Linked DNA regions of Lonchura striata. The protein of the gene in region 2 purifies or fractionates together with the protein of the main gene of each other region. This does not show direct contact. Links are inferred from orthologs where the notes say so. Each region holds a gene or a part of one and is shown on either strand. Other genes may lie near its edges.

Region 1 (9,944 bases), on a different chromosome or scaffold from region 2:
GACAGCCACTAACCACAAAAAAAAAAAAAAAAAAAAAAAAAAAAAAAAAAAAAAAAAAAACCCACAAACAACCATAAATCCACCGTAAGCCAAATTATGCCTCCTGTACAAAGGCATGTTCTCTAGAGAGGGAACTCAACAAAGTTTTTCCTGACAAGTCTTTGCCGTATAGCCATGAGTGAGAACAGCAGAACTTAGTGTTCACTTCATCAGAAAGAAGCACTGACTTCATGTGAAGCACCATAGTAGACCTTAGCAGCAAATCAGCAATTCCTGCACTGGTCTAATGAGGAAACCCAGCAGAAATGTGATTCAAAACTCATTAAGAGTCACACACACAGAAGACATACCCTAAAGGCTTATAAGGAGAATCTTGCTCCAGTCATTTCAGGGCTTCCACAGAACTTCTGCAGCTTTCTAGAGCAGAGTAACTTCACTCACCTCTGTGTTAGAGACTCATGATGCTTAAGCTCATGAGAAGCTGAAACCTCACAAAAGCCTTATACTGCTGGCCATGAGTACCCCCTGAATCTGGCCTGTGGCTACATCCTGCTCCCTGTAAAATCCTGCACAGCCCAGGGTATTCCTGTGAGTCCAGAACTTGGAATACATTGTTCTACAATGTGTTAGTTCCTGGAGAAGCAGCAGAAAGAAACTACTTCCAAATTACAGATCTTTCTCTTGCCCTCAGAGGCCTCTGCTTGCCTTCAGAGGTGCTTACAGCATCCTCCTAATGTATTCCACTTCTGTGGAATCATCCAATGTTATGGCTATAGAGTCAATGAAACTCCATTACCTTCTCCACATATTTTTTAGTTATTTCTGTTTCTCCTAGAGAGCAGATGAAGCTCCTGATTCCTTCTGCAGCCTGGTGCATTGCAGTACTGGGATGGAAGGGAATACCTGGAGCTTCCATCTCTACCAAGGACAACACCACCCGCACAGAGTGGGTGATGTGAGGGTACAACCCCACCGTTCCCCTGATTTCCAAAGGGCACTCAGTGGAACAACAAACACCCTGCCTCTTCAGTGGCACACTGAGGCCTGACTGAACATCCACAGCTGTAACCAACTTCAACATTAAAAAAGCCTATGGATCTTGTCTATAGGATCATCAAGCCTTTCCATCACCTGTTCACTGAACCAACCTCACCATACAGCTCCAGCACATAACACACCAACAGGTCCCCCCACTGCAGGACTGGCCAGACATTTGCTCCTGCTTGGCCTCCCACCTCTACTATCACCAACAGAGTTAAGTGAAACAGTGGGGGGATTCCTGCAGTGCAAGTGTCAATACAAAAATGTTTTCCTATTGATAGCTCTTACTAGCACTTAACAATGCCTTGTCCGCCAACATTATTTTTAAAACAGCTATATTTCATGAAGAGGGTGGATGTGTCACTCATTACTGGCCTTCTCTTTTAAATTACAGGGATTACAGCTGCTGCCGGGGCAAGGAGCATTCTCATTTTCCTACAGCAAAAACCTACTGGGTTATCTATAACAAAAAAACGAAGTCTATATAGGCTCAACAAACCTTACTGATAGCCACCCTAATTTTTTATTAATACCACACAGCCTCCAGGTGCCAGTTTAAATGAAGCACTCTACCCACAAGAGCCCTTGAACCAGGAGCCTGTGGCCACAGGTAGCCTGTGTTTGAAAAGCATCACATATTTAGGTGGAAAATGCTATTTTGACATTCAAAATGTGCCAGTTAGCTTCCTTGAGCTAACTGGCACTTCCTTGAAAAAGCTCACACCATACTTAACAAAGCTCTTTAATAAAAAGCAAATTAAGAAAGAGTGATCACAAAGCTTAAAGACACTGTGCAAAGCAAACTACTTGTTTGATGGCTTAGTCGAGCAGGACATAATGGAAACTTCACTCACAGAGAAACAGTAAAGGGAGTGGGATATAAGGGTGGAAAAAAGAGAGGAGGGGAATAATATTCTACTGATTGCTCCTTTTCTGTATTTTACTCTATGTATTTTGGTATTTTAGCAGAAGTAACTTCAACAAGCAGGTGATTTGAAACATACCATAAATGCTGAATATTATTACAGCTGAATATTATAACACTTTATTCAAAGTCACTGAACATCTAGCTCACAGAGAGGCTTCCTCTAAGTATGTGCTCTGATACCACGCATGTAGTTCTATTCTAAATGTTAAAAAAAAAAAGAAAGAAGACCCTGTGCTGGACAGGTATTTTAGAGTAAATAGGTTCTATGTTTTCATGTCTTATCATATTTTTGCACATTTAGCTTGCCCTTACATGGCTTTATTTTTAACTACTTTAGCACTCTTACGCATGTTAGATCTATTATGTTTGAAGATCTCTGTTCTCTTCTCAGCAAGGAAAAAAAATTAAAATAAATACGACCTTCAACAGCATTGAAAGCTCATGCACTTATTGAGGCATTATAAGCTGCCACCTGAAACTTCACTTTTCGGCCTCAAACACAGAGTCCCCCTTTAACTATGTAGCTGACATGAACTCCAGCTCTTTTGATGCTTCTTTCAAGCTGTATCTTGAACACATCAATTAAGAAATATTTAATAAACAGCACAAATATATTAAAAAAACTTTAGGATGATTTAGTAACAAACAACTCAATTCAAAAGATTAGTGAGGAACTGAAAAAAATAGGCTACCACCTGGAAGCAAAATAATCAAGCTGCTCAGCTAATGCCTCCATGCTGGGAAAGACCCTTAAGTGATCATACCCTGTTATGTCTATTTTTTATTTAACTACCCTCCCCCTTAAAACCTGTTCTGATACAACACTAATCAAAACACATGCAACTGAAAGCATGTCAATGTTTTCACTGAAGCCAATGCATCACCATTTGCTCCAAAAAATAAGCAATTTTAGCTTGGAAACAACCAGACCTCAACAACTGTACTATTTTATGACAAGAATCTCTTCAGGTAGTAGGAGAGGCAGAGCACTGTGATGGGTAAGGCTCACTTGGGTGCTATCACACACAACCCTTATGCATGTCACATTATATAAACAAAGGACAAGACAATTTCTGTAATTATATAAAAATACTCTAGAATTCTAAAAAATAATTGAAAGTAAGGACAACAGTTTAAGCTTTTCTTCGTCCTTAAAATCAGATTAGGTCTGTAGTGTTAAACACTACATTAATCTCACTTCCACGGGAGATGATGGCTTTCCACTTGAAAAGCTTTTTTCAGTAAAAGCTGAAAAAAAAATTAAAAAAATACTAAAAGACAATGAACGCCTAAGCGCCCTGCCTACCTCAGTGCACAACCACCATCCAGAGGCAGTTTCCAATTAGTGAATTATGCATATAAATTAAAACAAAACACAGCAGAACACCTATCGTACAGAGAAACACGAGAGAAAAACCCCGAAGCAAAAACAGAGAAGCAGTGTAATTCTACACATTATTCTCGGGTGCAAGCCGCAGCCGATGCCCACAAAGAGAGCTTTGATTCCCTCCGAGAAGAGCCGAGGCAGCAGCGCACGCAAGAGAAGGAGAAGCACACAGCGCCGGGACTGCCCTGAGCCGCTGGATCGCTCAGGGAGCCGCTGTCCTACGTCAACACCCGGCCGGCAGAAGTCTGTGCAAAATGGCAGCTCGAACGCTCCAGCCCTCACGATCCTTCCCGTCCTTCGGGGCACTCCTCTCAGCAAGCACGGCGGCGGCTCGGGCCGCGCCGCTTCCAGCGGGCAGCGCCCGTTCTGCGGCCGCCCCCGGCGCTGTTTGCCGAGGCCGAGGGGCTCGGCGGGGACCGAACGCGCGCTGTTGGCATTTCTGACGCGAAACTCGCAGCGGCACCGCGGGCCTTGCACAGCGCACCGGCCGAGCCTCGATGGGCGGAAGGAGGCGGCCATGGGGAGTTCAGCGACCGAGCTCCCCCGCACAGGCCTGGCCGCCGCTCCGGCCCACGCCAGCACAGCGAGAGCTCCCCCTCATGCCCGCCCCCCGCCCGGCCCGGCGCTGACGAGCGCAGCCGCCATTACACACATGCCCTGTATGTGTGCTCCTCCGCCCGAGGAGCCGCGCCTGACGCTGCCCGGAGCCGGGGAGAAACACAAGCAGCGGGCGATGTCCAAGCGCGGCGCGAGCGGGCGCGGACACGGGGCTTTCCGGGCTATTTTTACCTTCGTGGGTCTTGGCGATCTTCGCCATTTTGTGCAGCGCCAACGACGCCGAGGCGGAACTGGCGCGGCCCCGCCGCTTCCGCCACACGGGGCCGCCAGAACCGGCAGCGCGCAGGCGCGGCCGCCGTCCCGCGGGCCGGGGGCCAGGCCACGCCCACCGTCTGATGGACGGCGCGCCCAGCCAATGGCCGTGCGGAGAGAGGCGGGGCGCGCGCTGAGCCCGGCCCGCCGTGAGGGAACTTCCGGTGAGGGCGGGGCAAATGGAAGCGCCAAATATGGGGGCGGTTCCTGGAGACTTCCTTCCCACAGCCGCTGAGGCTGGGCCCCACGGGAATTTGGGTGCTCAGCTCTGTTTGCCAAATTGCCTGACGTGTGTTTCATCTGGTCAGGGTAACTGGCTCAGTGCCAACAGGCGGATCGCTAGATATCAGAAATAAAGCAGATATATATTTATTGCTACAAGATGGGGGTTAACCGGATTCAAGTCAGTTCAGTATTTTAGGAAGGGCTCGAAAGAGGGAAGGGTAGTTGTGTTTACGATATTGGCAGATGGCACCAAACTGGCAGGTGGAAGAAGGAATTGAGAATAATCTTACATTGATTCATACATGGAATAATCTAAGATCACAGAGGTAAGCTTCAACAACAAAAAGCAGAAATTACTCCAAATTGGAATTTTAAGTCACTATATGAATTTTAAGTGGAAAAAATAGTCAGAAACTGATGACATGGGAAATCAAAGCTATACGACTATCTGTAGCAATATGCTGCTGCAGTGGAATTAAGTCTTACTCCAGGCCATTAAAAATTGTGCCACATACAAAACCTGAAAAGCAATTTACTTAGCTCAGTCAAAGCCACTGATGGTGTCCAACAGAGACTTGGGCAAACTCAATATAGTCTAGAAGCGAGGAGGAACGATCAGATGTTTATGAACATGACCTAGTGTGGATGTAAACAAATTGTTCAGCTGTTCTGCAATAACTGACCTCACACCACTTCCACATTTCATTTGGGAATTACTAACTTTTTTCCCCAGATGATATATACACATTTCAGCATCCCTGTCTATTGTATACCTGATAACTAAATAGGATTGATTCTATCCACATGCAAAGCCTTGGGAACTCTCCCTTACAGTCAAGTGTTGTGAACAAGCTAGTTTTTTATTGTCTCAGCTTTTAATAGTAGTAAAATACCAAGGCTGGCTATGCAACCTAGGTTCAAAGTCCACGATTGCTTAATGATATTTCATAACACAGTGTAATATGTAAACTTCTAGAGATTATTTATTATCATGTGGCTTTATTGTACACCTGCTAAGTCCCTAATCTCCTCAAAAGCTTTTGCAACAAGTGATGTCAACTTGAGAACTTCCCATCAGGTAAAATGCATAAACTGTTTCTGAAAAGGGTGATAAATGCACGATGGCAAAACCCATATTGACTCTTCACTAATCACTCTGCTTATGCAAGCTGGTAGTTCACATTATGGCTTTTTGAGGGTTGTCTTAAAGAAAATAATGTGAAGCTCATGTTTTTGTGTTAATACATGTATTTGATTGACCAACTGATCTAAAGATCTGTCAGTCTGCTTTGTGTTGATTGGTTTGCAGGAGTTTGCTGAACAGTTCTGCTTTTAATAATTTACTAACTACATGTACTCAAATGTTAAGAGTGACTGTCACTTGAAGGTGCACAAAGTCTTCTGTTCTTTATTCTCAGCGTTATTAAACTCACATTCCACATTTCTAGAAAGATGCACTTGCACATACTCACAGGCTACAAAAGGAGATATTTACCAAGCTGCCCAGAGACATGTGACAGTAAGGTTGAGGCAAATTCCCTGCTGCAAGAATTTAATGCATGCAACTATTTTAAGTAAATGTCACATGCTCAGATTCACTGTGAAGATCAATTTGCAGTAACTTTCCCTCCTTTCTTCAGCCTGACTTCCAGTTTATGTTAAGCAGAACAATTACAATATTTCATTTCTTCTGTTATTAAGCAGACCTGAGCTAGGCATGAGGTCTCGAGGAACGCTTTAAAGTCATAATTCTGAAATGTGCCATTTCACACATAAAAGAGACTTATGTGTTGTGAGTGCTAACAGAAATTGTGCTGTGATGAAACAATGAGAAAACTGCCTTCTACTTGTGTCTCTTCCCTGCTTTTCCACCGAATTCTGTATGCTGCCCCAGGTTCTTTTTGGCTGCCTGTCAAATCCCTGAATATGTACTTTTGCCTCCTGAACATTAACTCCATCACACAGCTTCCACAGAATACGGACAGGGCTGTTACTTAGTGGTTTACCAGCCCTACTGAGTTCCCACCCCTTTCCCACACATGCAAGTGAACAGCGAGTTCACAGAGATTCCTGTATGCATTTGAAACGGATTTAAGAGCACTCAAGCTTTGCAGATCAGGAATCACACCTAAGGAACAGACCTCCAAGGTCCCACTTTATGTAAGATTCAGGTCCAATTTCACGGGCAGCTTAAGCTGTCACCAGCTGGCACTGCTGCTGGAAGAAATATCCAGACTCTTTGCCTGGCCTTGATTGACCCCATCTATTGTGCCAGCAGAACTTTCTGGCACTGTTTCACTCAAAGAAGGCAGGCTCTTGACTACATCCTTGTGCTACTTCTTCCAAAAGTAATTTTTTATTTGTATTAATTCCCCCCCACCACCCACCCATGCTGTAAAGAGCTGTAGAATGAGCTGACATTAGCAAAATGCTACAAACCTGGGCTAAACTCCTAATCCTTCATTCTGCCCAGGTCTGTGCTTAGCTTCACGTGCCAGGGACAGTTCACTGACAATCACGTGTCTGTTAAAGGGCAGAAATTCTTAAAACAAAGAGAGGAAATATTTAACTGTAGCAGCTGTGTTTCAACTCTGCACAAACTTCTCAAACAACATGAGCAAGAAAAAAATAGCACAAAATAAAATCTCTTCCAGTCGCATTTTTGTTTCTGATGTCAAGAAGAAATAATGTACAAAGTGACAATTTTTTTGTCACTGGAAAGCAATGAGTTAAAAAATACACATTGGAAGATAAGCTTTTTGGACAATTTTAAATGGGGGCTGCTTTGTGTTCTGCAGGATGTGCATAACCTGAACACAAACCATTTGTGTCACTGCTGGTAAGGGGGGCCTGAGGAACATAAATCAAAGATGGGATGGGACTGTCATCTGTGCTGCCACAGTCCTGTGGGCTCTCCTGAGGGAGTCTGAGGGTGTTTTTGTAGATTTTCTGCCAAGAGGAAGCAGGCTCCAGGCCCTGTGTCCCAGCTAACGCTGTCCCAGGGCTGGCAGGGCCAGGGGGGTTGGGTAAGGGCTGCTGCAGACACAGCCCTCCCCACGCAGCAATCCTCCCCCAGCCTGCCCGAGCTGCGCCCGGGGCTGCATGCTTTGGTGCAGATCATGTTCTTCCTGAGCAGTTTAATAAATACAGACAGTACTATTTTGGAACTGGGACAGAGTAAGAACAGAGTAGCTGGATTTCAAAACCGTCTGTGAGCAAATATGCATTGAGATTTAAACCTTTTTTGGATTTTTTTGGTCCACTGAAACCTTATGAAGATCAAACAAGTTTAATCCTTTACACAACATGTTCACAGCCAAATACTTCAATTATTACTAACACCAAGTTCACTGGCACTATATAAAATATAAGAAAATTTATGTGATTTTATATCCTGATGAATCATCTATGTTTGTAGATAATTTTTCCCAGCCTACATGTATATATTTTGAGATCTTTCAAAGGCAAATATTATTCAAAACTCATTTGTAAACAGGAACACAGTTACTATATTTTTGCTTTCCTCAGCATATCTCTGGCTACCTAAGGAACACACTAAACCAGCTGCTCTTTTCACTTATCTGTAGGAATAGAGCTTTTTTTTACATGGGGATATGCTCTCCTCCTTGTCAAAGATTGACTCTTTCCCCTCTGAAAGGTGTCCTTAAAATTATTGTTTTTAATAGTATAAACCTCATAGTTAGAATGTAAACCTAACCTTCTAATGATAGTAGTATTATAAAAAATAACATTTAGAAAAAAACAACCTCTGTGGTCCTACAGTACATCCCTTTCTAGTGTATCAGAAATCTTGCATCCCTCTGGTGTTAAGGATTAATTTGGACCACTCTTCCAGTCAGAGTTAGTAAACACAGCACTCTCTTCCAGCAACAGGTATCAAGCAAGGTTTAAGAACTTTAATCTTGAGCCTACCAAGAGAAAACAAAAAAGGCAAAAACTCCTCAAAGTGCCTTAAACATCCATCACCTTGAACTACTCGATGCCTGACTCTTCAATTATTCTAAACACCTAAAAACATCAGTCTTTGTGAGAGGCATTTCCTGATCCACTAGGATTCACTGAGCAAGCTAGAATGACAGACACAGAATCCAGCAAATAATAGCAGCACTCGTGGAAGTTGCAAAACACAGATGAGGTTAGTAATAAGGGTTAGAGGAAGGGAGGACAGCATAGGACTGGGGCTTTGTTTGCATTTCTGTCTTTGCAGTTTGTTTTTCACCTGCACTGGAGAACCTGGGTTTTTACTGATTTCTGTTTTTCATCAAAGTAATAGAGATATGCTGCAGGACAGCTTATCTGAAAAACACCATACCCTGAGGTGGTAAAGCAAAAGTTGCTCCATTGAGTCTCTGTCATCCAAATTGGTGGTGTGCTTATTTAATGAGTGGTTTTGCTAATGGCAAGGACGCTGGGATAATTAAAAGGACGTTTTCTGAAGAGGATGTGTTGTAGGTTTATATAATTGAACTGTTATTTTTGTCCAGAAATCTCACTTCTTAATGCATTCAGCATTCAACAGCTTCAACTAAAATTGCTTCATTTACATTGTAAATAGGTGGGAATGGGTTCCTCCCGTAGTTGAAGGGACACTGCTGGCAGTGTATCCAGGCTGGTTTTCTAGTGCATACAGCCCAGACACAACTCAAGTTCAGGACGTGAAAATACCAATCTTAGTTCAAGATTCCCAGTCAAGACTATATCTGGTACTAAAGTTAAAAAAAGCCAACCCAAACTATTTTATGGAAATAGATTTTGCAGTCTTACCTTTTAACAGTTTCTGCGTTACACAAAATATGAAAGGTGTGATGAATTACATTTAAACAGTAGGTCTCCAATCGCAGAGTAATTGTAAAACACGCTTTCCTTGAGAGAGCCTGTATTTGAAAGGTACATTACGAGAAAGCGTTAATTAACGATTTCTTTGTCTCAAGTTGTGACCAAAGGGTGCTCTGTGATCACAAACAGGTCTGTGGCCGTACTGCTAAGCTGCTGCTGACTGTAACCCTGAGCAGGCACCGAGCAGAGGCGGGACGAGCACCGGCGACTCCTCCCGCGGACCCGCCGGGTCGGGCGCTCTGCGGGGGACGGACACGGGGACGGACACGCGGACGGACACGCGGACGGACACGCGGACGGACACGGGGACGGACACGCGGACGGACACGGGGACGGACACGCGGACGGACACGGGGCCGAGGCCGCTCCCGCCGCTCGGTGGGGGCGCCCGCCGCGCTCCAGCCCAATTATGGCCCCGCGCGGGGCTCGCGCGCCGCCGGGCCAATCAGGCGGAGCGGCGCGGCCGCGCGCGCTGTCCCGTGACCGCGCGCCCCGCGCCGCGACGGGGGCGGCAGCGGCGGCGGCAGCGCGGCCGGGATGGCGCGGAGCGGCGCGGCTCTCGGCAGGGCGCTGGCCGGAGCGGCCGCCGCCAGGTACGCGGGGCGAGGCGCGGATACCGCGGGCGTGACGGAGAGG
Region 2 (10,023 bases):
AGCACTGGAAATGGCAGCTCACGCCTCTGCCAGTAAGTCTGCCTGTGGATGCACAGGCAGGAGTCTGCCATGACCACAGTCTTGTCTCTGGGTCTAGACTAGGAGCAGAAGAGAGAAAAGGGGTGCACTACAAGTGGGCACCTCAAGCCACATACCCCAATGGGTGAACACTTCTCAACAAACTTCAGCAGCTGGGATTTGGCGGTGCCAGGGTCCCCCAGCATCAGCAAGTTGATGTCCCCTCTGCGGGTCAGGCCATCCGGGAGCCTGGAGTGATGGGGTTGGGAAGAAGAGAGGGAGCAGAGCTGGTGAGCCTTTATTTTGATAACAAAGCAGTGACTTTGCTAACAAAGGCTGACTCTTCCCCACCTCTTGCGGGAGCCTCCAAACAAGAGGCAGGCGATGGCCTTCTTGATGTCAGTGCTGCCATAGATGGAGGGCGCAATGCTCTTGGCAATGGTCTCGTAGATGTTGGGCATGGCAGCAAGGCGACGAAGTTCCTCCTCCTCCTGAGGGGTCACCGAGCCACTGAAGTTATGTCCTGTACAGGGGTGAGGGGAGTGATGCAATAGTGAACAAATGGAGGTTTTGAAGGAAATTGTATCGCACTACAACCAAAATCCCCTCTTGAAAATCATGCCAAGTGCCACCAGGTGGGAAGGGTGGAGAGGGCAAGCATCTGCTAAGCCAGCAATGCAGGCTGTGTCCTTAGAGGCTAATCATAAAAAGTAAGTATCTTGGGCAAAGCAGCTCTGCTGGACCCAGAGGGAGAATTACAGTCAGGACCATGTTTTACATACAATCTTAACCATGGACTTCAGCCAGGATCCTCAGGGATGGCTTAGCAGATTCTTGCTTAAACACCCTGGAGGACTCAGGCTGAGACCTCCTCATCTAATATGAGAAAAAGCCTTACAGGATATGACCATAGAGAGCCCAGGGCAAGTCAGACCCCAGAATGGCTTGAACCCTCTTTTCCATAGACAGCAGAGAAGGATGAAGGCTGTGATTTCACACACTTCTTGCTGAGGGATCACTTTGTTCAGGAACAGTGTGGGGAGTGTCTCCCAACACCAGGCTACCAGCACAGACCAAATGCACCCCAAAAGCAGCCCTCACCTGAGCCCTCTGTGTCCACCTGGATGCCCACCACGCGGATGTAAGCGCTCCGGATGCCCACGCCCACACTGTAGCGGCTTTTGTTCTTGCTCTGCGCAGATTTCTTGATGGAGTAGATCCCCATGATAGTGACTCTGTTCCCTGGGACAACTTTGTCACACAGGTACCTAAGAGGAGACAGGGGAAAGCAGAGGATGGTGGTGGGAAATGATGGCAACAGCCAGTGGGGGCAGGGTGGGAAGGCTGTGCCAGTACCTGTCACAGTAGAGCTGCAAGTGCCGGGGCATCTCCCCGTGTGGCACGGCATCTGGAGACTCCTGCAGTTTCAGGACCTGGAAATCCACGCACTTGCACTTATCTGGCATGATAAAATACGGGTCCAGAGGGCACTTTGGGCGGCCAGCTTGTTCTCTGTGCAGAGAGATGGATCAGGGGAGGCTGTTAGCACTGAGGAGCCAGCCCTTGGAGCCAGCCCTTGGAGGCACCTGTGCAGGGGACAGCAGTGACAGCAAGGGGCAGCTGCCCCTTCCAAGCAGTGCCACATTAGCAGGTAAGGGCAGACACATGGGGCCAGACCAAAGGCCAGCAAGGCCTCTGTCTTGTCTTCTGCAAGTGCCAAACGTGCACATAAGAACAAGCCAGAGGCAGGGTGACACTTGTCTGAACACTCTCCCTGCCTCCCACCCCTCCCCTGCTAGCTACAAGCAGGGAAGGTAATTCATTAATTACACAGAAGGTAGCAGCACACACTCACTGACACAGCAGGGCGTTTTTCTTTACAACCTCATGCATGAGGCAAATGTTAAGTGGTTTCTGGTGAGAAAGCAATTAGCAATGTGACAAGGCTGACATCCACCTCCCAGTCTCTCAAGCCACATCTGCCTAGCTAGATTACAAGCTCTCTGAGACAAAGAGAAGCTCCATATCCTGCTGCTGTCTCAGAGTGGCACGACTGATGCCTGACTCCATGCAGGGCTTTCAGGCAGGACAACACCAGAGAGCAGATGCACTCATACAGTCAGGGATCAGGAGCAAGGTGCTGCACAGACCACACACAAGAATGACTCCCTAGCCCAAACCCCTCTCAAGCTGCATTAGAGTTCAGGTGCAGAAAATAAATACTGGCAGGTATGAGCCCAAAGACACAACCCACCAGGACTGGCTGCCTTGAGAGCTGCAGCACAATGGCAGTCTAATGCACACAGTGCTCAGAGGCACCAGGAACTGTAAAGCAGGATAAAAAGACTAGCAGAAAAGCACCCCTAAGTAAGGTAACACAAAACATGCTTTTCAGGAGTGGGAATGTAGAAGCAAGGAGTTTGTTTGGAAAAGAGGAGAACAACTTAACACAGCATTATGAGACAGCTGGAGGCAGGCATGAACCTTTAGGTACAAGAGAAACTCCCTATGAATAAAAAGGACTCCCTGGACATGGTCACTCAGCACTGCACGCAGCACTGACCGTGCAGGGTCACAACCAGCATGACCACAGAGGGACAGCCAGAACTTGCCAGCCAAAACTGCACAGTGGCACAGGGGCAGCACAAAGGGTGGAGGCAGAGCAGCGCAGGTGCTGCTGCCTTGTGGAAAGGGAGCAGATTCTGCAATGCATGGGATGCAGCAGGAGCAGGAAGAGGGGAATGCAGTCTTTTCTCGCCCTCCAGCCAGCTGGTGCATGCCCTTGTCAGTCCTTACGTGTTGCATTTCCTGGGCAGAGCGTAGCCCTCCAGGCCCGGGCGCACCGCGATGTTGCTGATGGTGTTGCGGCAGCTGCGGCACTGGATGGTGATTCTGGTGGCTTTGGCTCTCACGGGGGTTGCTGCAATTACAATCCCAGGGATCTTCACAAGGTGGGACATCTGGTCAGACTGAAAAGGGACAGGCGAAGGGAAGGTGAGAAAGCATCACTGGAAGATGGATGGGAAACTACAAAGCATGAGAGCAAAGGACAAAATACTCTGTGCAAAGCACCACTAACAGAACAATGTCCCTACAGCAGGAACCAGCAATAACAGCCCTCTGCAGTCAGATCTGAGCTGCAGAGTAACGCTGCTTGTACATTAGCAAGTGACCCATGTCCTGAGCCATGTGACCAGGTCCTGAAAGCTCCCCTGCAATCAAACCCACACACTTCACCTCACCTTCAGGCTGCGGATGTTGGCTGCGTTGGCATCTGACCTCAGCATCACCTGGATGTCCTGGAGAGTCTCCTCTCCAGAGGGGCGAGGACGAGTGACCTCATCGGCAACTTCTTTTGCTGCTTCTTCCAACTAGAGAATGAACAATGGGCTATCAGTGGGTCTGTTACAGCAGAACATCAGAGATGCTCTTGTGCCAATATTCTAGGTTTCCAACATCCATCCTTACCAGCTGCAGGTGCTCTGATGGTTGCTTGTACAGATAGTCTGCGAGATCTTCATCAAAGCTGGCCAAGTCTTCCATCTCCACCTCCACCCAGTACTGCCCCAGGTTGTAGTGCCGCTTGAGCTCATCCCTGGAAGGCAGGAAGCAGCAAAGGTTTGCAGGGCAGAAAGCACCAGTCATCCACAGTGGCCTTAGCACAAGCAGGGATCAGAAAAGGCAGCTTCTGCAGGGAGTCCTTCATTTGGAAAGCAAGCAGGGAAAATTAGGGGAGTTCCAGAAGTGCAGGGGAACCTGGGCAATCTTTCACCCAAGCCCACCTGGAAAAGTGACATAAGACCAGGGACACCAGTGCTTCAGTGGCAATGTAAAGTATTTGCTGGAGTTACATGACCAGATAAACAAGGAGGAAATTTCTATGTAGGATAATAACTACTATACATAAGATGTGGTTTAAAACAAAGGATATAATGACAGGACAACATTTTTCTTTAAAATGCCAGGATAAATGAAATTCAGAAGTGAAAGACTGTTATAGCCCTTGATTATGATGCATCTCCATGTTTTCTCAATGCTGGGTCTCCAAGCTGCATAGGCAAAGAATGGCTAAAGGAACTTCATACTCTTGGAAGGCACACGTGGAGAGCAGTGCACTGATTTAATGGACACAGACAATTCTCCAGACCAGAAAGCACTACAACTCCAAAGACAGACCTTGAATCTCAGAATTAAGTGCAAACCTGGCAGTGTGGATCCCTCTATTACTACCTTTTCCACTGGCTGGCTGCCTAAAAATCTGTGTGAACACCAGACTTCTGCTTTTCTATCAGGTTAAATACAAACATCTCTTAATGCTGAACTTTTTATGGCCCACGAGAAGAGACTAAATGGCTGTTACGTATGTGAGGTGTACACTGCAGGAGGGAGGTTAACAGCAGACTGGAGATGCAGGTGGGGATGGGCAAGGCTCAGAAGGAGAAAAGGGGCCACAGCAGCACCTGTATTTGAAAGTGAAGCCCGTCCGGTCCGTGCCCACCCGGTACTGCCGCAGGAACTCCTTGAACCGCTTCTGCAGCTGCGACTTCCGAACCTGCCCCTCATCCACGGGCGCGTCTCCCCCAAAACTGTCGCTGTAGTAAATGCCGGGGTCGTCGAAGCCGGACATCGCGGCTGCTGCTCCGCTGCGGGCCGAGAGCGCTGGGTCAGCGCCAGCCGCCTCCTTCCCCCGCCGCGCACCCAAGGCCCCGCGGGACCGCCCCTCGCCGCACCCCACGCACGGGCCGCGCTCTTCCCCCGCACTGCCCCAGGGATACCCCGACCCCGATCCCTGTCCCGGTCCCGGTCCCGGTCCCGGTCCCGGTCCCGACCCCCGCCGCTCCGCACCTCTATCCCCGCCGGAACTCGCTCCCAACTTTTTCGCGGCAAAAGCGGCGCGCGGCGGAAACCAAACCGCCGCAGGGCGCGCGCTGCCTCCGCCGCCGCGCGCTCTGATTGGCCCGCCTGCCAGGCGCCGCCGCCGATTGGGCCGCAGCCGCCCTCCCGCCCCGCCCCCAGAGGGAGCGCGCGGCGCCGCTGCCGCCGCTGATTGGCCGGAGCGCTCCGCCCCCGCCCGCCCCCAGCGGTGTGGCGCGAAATCTGGGAGCGAAGGGCGGGGGGAGGCGAAATGGCGGGCGGGCCGCACCATTGCGGCGGGGCGCGGAGGGGGAGCGGGTGATACCATCGCGGGAATGAAGTGAATTAATTAGTGCTGGAGGCTGGGCCCCCTCACTGCTTCAGGGCCTCAGGACACGATGCTGTTATAAATGAAAATTTGTCCAGCCAAATTAATATGAAAAATAAAATATTTATTTTGCAATCAAATTCTATCTACCCAGCCACAAGGAAAGCACAGAGCCGACCCTGGGGTCGGCCCTGGGTGTGCCACAAGGAGTCAGCCTCAGCAGAGGTTTTCCTCCATGCCCACACACCTCCATCCTGGCACAAGTGGTTTTTATAGGGAAAATTCCGCCTGACGCCAACATTTGGGCAGTCAGTCTTTTCTTCCATTCAAAGTCCATAGGTTAATAAGACTTTCTTTTTTTGGTGATGAGGGGAAACAATTCAGTGTCAGGAGTTGGTGAATCCCTTGATGGAATTTACGGAACGCTGCATTCACATGTATCTGCCCGAGGATTTCCGTGATATCCATCTCGGGTCGTTCAGGCGACGATCAGCGCCTGGGGTCCCCCATATCTCTCCAGACATGGCCCATCTCCTGGCCGAGCCACGTCCTTTAATGTGTGTAAATCAGGTTTCAACATATACCAGGTTTGGGGGGGAGTCCTAATACAAACGTGTATACTCCAACAAACATTCAATATCACATATATTATACTAGAAATGGCGCGAATTATACCTACTAGACATAACAATGCCTTCCTCCTGGCTATTTGTGAATTTAGGGGGAAGGCTGGCAGGTCGCTGGTGTGCATTTTGGCCCTCCCAAAGCATGGCAATGCACGCCCTAAGTAAGCTGAGAAGCACAGTGCATGGCAAGGGAGGTTTCGTGCAGCCCGTGGGAAATAAGGAGGGTGTCCTTGCTGCAGAGAAACCAGATGAACTCATAAAGATCACAGATGAGTACAAACAAAGCCTTAGTCTCCATTTCTGCGGACTTGAGGCTCAATCTGGAATGTACTATGTGTGACAACAATGGCTGTGAGATACCCAAAGTGCCATCTCTCTCCTGCCATGAGCAGGGAGGGTATGATACCAATCAGAACCCATATTCTCCAACTTTGAGGTCACAGTCGGGCTCTCTGAGGAGTGGAGAGGGGCTGAGTGTGGTGCAGTGCGTTTCTGAGCTCATGGGCATTATCTCTTTGGGATCTTAGATTAATGAGCATGTTTGAATAACAAAATGGTTTAGTTGGGGTGTTTTAGAGGGACTCAATAGAACTTAATTCAAATCTGAATTAGCAAGTTCTTGTCTATAAATAGCTATCAATCCTCATATTCCTGCTTTTCGAACACCCAACTATCTTTTTCAAGAATTAGCTATTTTTTCTGGCAGGCGGATCCAAAGAAAGAACTATTAAAGGAGGTCGGGGAAGGGATGCAGAGTTGAAAAGATCCTGAGAATGATGACAGTCCTGTTTTCCCACTGCTCATTCTCAGCAGGACCTGCCTTCTGATTCATGTTCTTTGAGCAGGTTCAGTGCTGGTCATTAAAACAGATCAGTAGGAACATATCTTTGGGATTAAGGTCACAGCCAGAACTGTGATCACAGAGGCTTTCTGGAATAAAGAGAGAACTCTGAGGTGATAGCACAGCAATTTTGTCAGTACCTGCAGTGCCATATCTGAACTGCAGCCCCTCCTGTGTTGGGAAAGCTCCTGGAGCAGGCAGGGCCTGCGGCTGGGCACAAACCCAGCCCTCCAGATGTGCCTCAGCAAAAGGCAAGGAAAGCAAACTGTGTGCATGGGCTGCTCCGGCAGTGCTGTGTGTTTGGAGTGCCTTTAGCAATGCCACATGTGTGCCAGGTCCTGGGAGTGGGGGTTGGTTTGCCACTTGGGTGAAGGCAGTGGTTGTGTGCTTGATGCCTCCCATTCAGCCACCTCGACCAAAACCTAGGATGCCTTTAACTTTTGGGTGGTGAAAACACACTTGGCAATTCTGATTCATGCTGAAGATCTTGCAAAGGCAGCCTGGCAATGCAGCCTTTGCTGGCAGTTCAGGGAGAGCTTCCTGGGTTTGACCAACTGAGGGTCCCATCACCTTTTTCTTGTGATAGAATAGCAATCAGCTCTTATGTACCACTTCCACCCTTAAAAATACTTTGCACACTCACTGAATTTCATGCTGCTTCTAGAAACAGAGAGCAGTATGTAGAGGCTGAAGGAACCTGCCCTAGTTTATAGAAGGTTATTGTTAACACTGCGTGGGAACAGTCTGGCTCTGGTGATAGCTCCCACTTCTGTCTATTGTCATGTCTGTGCAGCAGCAGCTCCAAAAGACATAAAGTCAGGAGGAAGAAAGACACCTCCTTCTCCCCTGGGTAAGGCTTTAATAATAGGAAACACCAGGCCTGAAGACTTCACATTGAAATTTATTATGTGTATAAATTATACAACCAGACAAGAATGACACTGTATGTCCAACAACTGTCTTTTGTTTTTCAAAGACCAAAAATAATGGGAAAAAGAAGTAACAAAGACCTACTAGTGTCATGTAAAGCTGTCTGTAACCCATGGGAGCCACGTGGCTCCACAGAGAAAATGATCACAGTATTATTTAGCAGTATAAAAAAACTGAGCAAACAGAGCTCCAAGGAGCTCCATCTTTCTGAGGAAGACAGAAGTCAAAGCTGTGTTTCTGATCCCATAGGGCTTTTGTAGGCACTCTGTAAAGCAATGACAATTCTTGGCCATTGTTTTTAGCCTTTTCCACCCTTGGTTTTTGGTGATAAAATTATCACCTTTCTGAGAAGAGCTCACACCAAGCACAGGAGAAACTTTGCCTGAACCCCTTACAGCACTCTTTGATTTCTGGGGAGAAAAGTCTCCTAGTATTAGTGGCAGAACCAAGATCACAGTACCCAGTCAGGGGTAATTTCTCTCCCAAGGACTGGGGAAGGTGGATTAGTTCAGGGTGAGGGAAGTCACAAAGAGAAGGTGAAGGTCCTGCTTTTTCACATGGCAAACAAGCCCACGGCGACCGTCATGGCGAGGAAGCTGAGTGCCACAATCCACCGCACCAGGGAAGTGGTGGGTGTTGTGTCTGTGTTTCTCATCTTTGTCCTCTCACCCTCCTTCCCAGCTGCTGGACCTAGATCAAACAGGGATAAAAAGCAAATTAAGACAAGTGAGAAGAGGTTGTGGCAAGAAGATGCTAACGTGCAGTGTTTGCTCTCCCCAGTGCCCCAGCACACCCTGCTGGAGTTGTCCAGGGAAGAAGGAGAAAGCCCAGAGCCCAGCTGGGGGAAGCAGTGGCAGCAGGTTCTGCTCTCCCAGTGGAGAGGGGAAGCAGCAGACTTGACCTGGGAATCACAAAGGCCCACAGCTCCTCTGCATGTAGGTGATTACCAGTCTCCTCCCTTGTCTCCTTACAGGCTTACACCTGCACTGCCCAGCTCCATTAAACCCCTCATGTGTGCAGAAGACAGATAAATGCTGAAGATAGAATTTTAAAAGGCATTTTGTCTCCTACTTCTCACTGATTTAACTTTAGGCATCTAAAGACCTTGAACAGTCTTCAGCACTCCAAGCAATTTTTGTAGTACAACTTCAGGATGGGATTCCTCATCCAACACCAAATTTTTCTGAAAATCTTACTTGTATGCTTGTATTGGGAAAAGAATGGCAATGTTTCACAGAGAACTTTTAATGCCTTTCCCACAGAAGCTGCTTTAAGCTTCACTATCCAGGGGTTCTTAAGGCAAGGTTTGCTTTTCATCTTTGCCATGGAAAAACTGTGGGTCAATCCAGGATGCACTGAAAACAAATTACCGTTTTAGTTTCAGAATGAGTAGGCCATAAGGGGTTTTTTATTTGAATTGCATGTCCTCATGGAACCACTCTGCTCTGTAAACATCTGACCTCGCTCCTCACTCAGGTACAAGCCTGATTACATTCCACCATTCAGAGCAGTGCTCACTTTAAACCCAGCACATCCTCTGAGAGTTTTCAGCAAATACTTCTGGGAGGCAGGAAAAATGATCAGAGGGAGATCCAAAAGGACAGGCTGCTGGATAGGACTGTGTCCAGAGACCCTTCTGTCAGCATCACAGCACCATGGCTGATCTGCAGCACCCAAAATTAACGCCTTTGCTTCCATGAACTCAAGGTCAGTTTTCCCTGTGGTGAATGAACCTTACATTTGTTAAAGCTCTAGAGGTGGAGAGAGGAGTCTCTTTTTGTAAAGCTTCCTCACTGACACACTTTCTGAAGAGCCCACATGTGTTATCCTTGCTCTGCCATGTCTAGAAGAAATTTTGCACACAGCAGTGCCTCTCCTTGCACTACCTGCTGATGGCTGGAGAAGAGATGGGGCAAGCACCTCATGCTTGTTTCCCAATGGCTTTTACAAACAAGGACAGAAGAGGGGAGGAGAAGGAAAGGAAGGAGCACTGTGAAGCACCTGCCCTTAGAAGTGTCTTACCATGCTCATGTGATTTGTTGATGTTCCTCGTGCGAAGCAGCTCTGCTTTTGGCTGCACAGGGTGACCATTCTCCTGGCCCTTGGACACCAGCTCCTGCAGTGCCTCAAACACCTTAGAAGAAAGAACACTGTCTCATTATGTGGTCTCCTCTTGTTCTTTCACTGGACCACCTGTCCCTTCCTCAGGCACTTAGGAACTAGAGGAAGACATGGGGGTTCAGTCTAAGTCTCCTGGCACATTTTGCTTAGAACAGAAGTTGCCTGTGAGGTCAAGAGGATGTCTTTCAAACTCCTTGTTCTCTTTACAGGTTCTCCCCAAAGCTTTCAACTAAGGAGAAGACTACTTCCCACCTTTTGATGGGAAGGAAAGCAAGGTACCTGTCACCTAGTCAGAGTGCACAGCA

What was found. The genes of interacting proteins can lie anywhere in the genome.
Region 1: the proteins of MCM5 (region 2) and SF3B1 purify together in Homo sapiens (affinity purification with mass spectrometry; 4 studies listed by BioGRID and IntAct, with this or other methods). This does not show direct contact. The link is inferred for Lonchura striata from reciprocal best matches to the Homo sapiens genes MCM5 and SF3B1.

What each region holds. Positions count from the first base shown.
Region 1 is NC_134610.1:28,285,851-28,295,794, reverse strand, and holds the start of SF3B1 (splicing factor 3B subunit 1), read right to left. Parts: upstream 4,271-9,944; 5' UTR 4,174-4,270; coding exon 4,146-4,173; intron 1-4,145. Other genes in the region: COQ10B (coenzyme Q-binding protein COQ10 homolog B, mitochondrial), read left to right, coding at 9,846-9,901. UniProt on the Homo sapiens protein: Component of the 17S U2 SnRNP complex of the spliceosome, a large ribonucleoprotein complex that removes introns from transcribed pre-mRNAs.
Region 2 is NC_134607.1:22,472,521-22,482,543, reverse strand, and holds the start of MCM5 (DNA replication licensing factor MCM5), read right to left. Parts: upstream 4,953-10,023; 5' UTR 4,864-4,952; intron 4,662-4,863; 5' UTR 4,646-4,661; coding exon 4,479-4,645; intron 3,614-4,478; coding exon 3,487-3,613; intron 3,390-3,486; coding exon 3,261-3,389; intron 2,988-3,260; coding exon 2,815-2,987; intron 1,531-2,814; coding exon 1,375-1,530; intron 1,287-1,374; coding exon 1,120-1,286; intron 542-1,119; coding exon 370-541; intron 268-369; coding exon 156-267; intron 1-155. Other genes in the region: HMOX1 (heme oxygenase 1), read right to left, coding at 8,151-8,287, 9,620-9,731. UniProt on the Homo sapiens protein: Acts as a component of the MCM2-7 complex (MCM complex) which is the replicative helicase essential for 'once per cell cycle' DNA replication initiation and elongation in eukaryotic cells.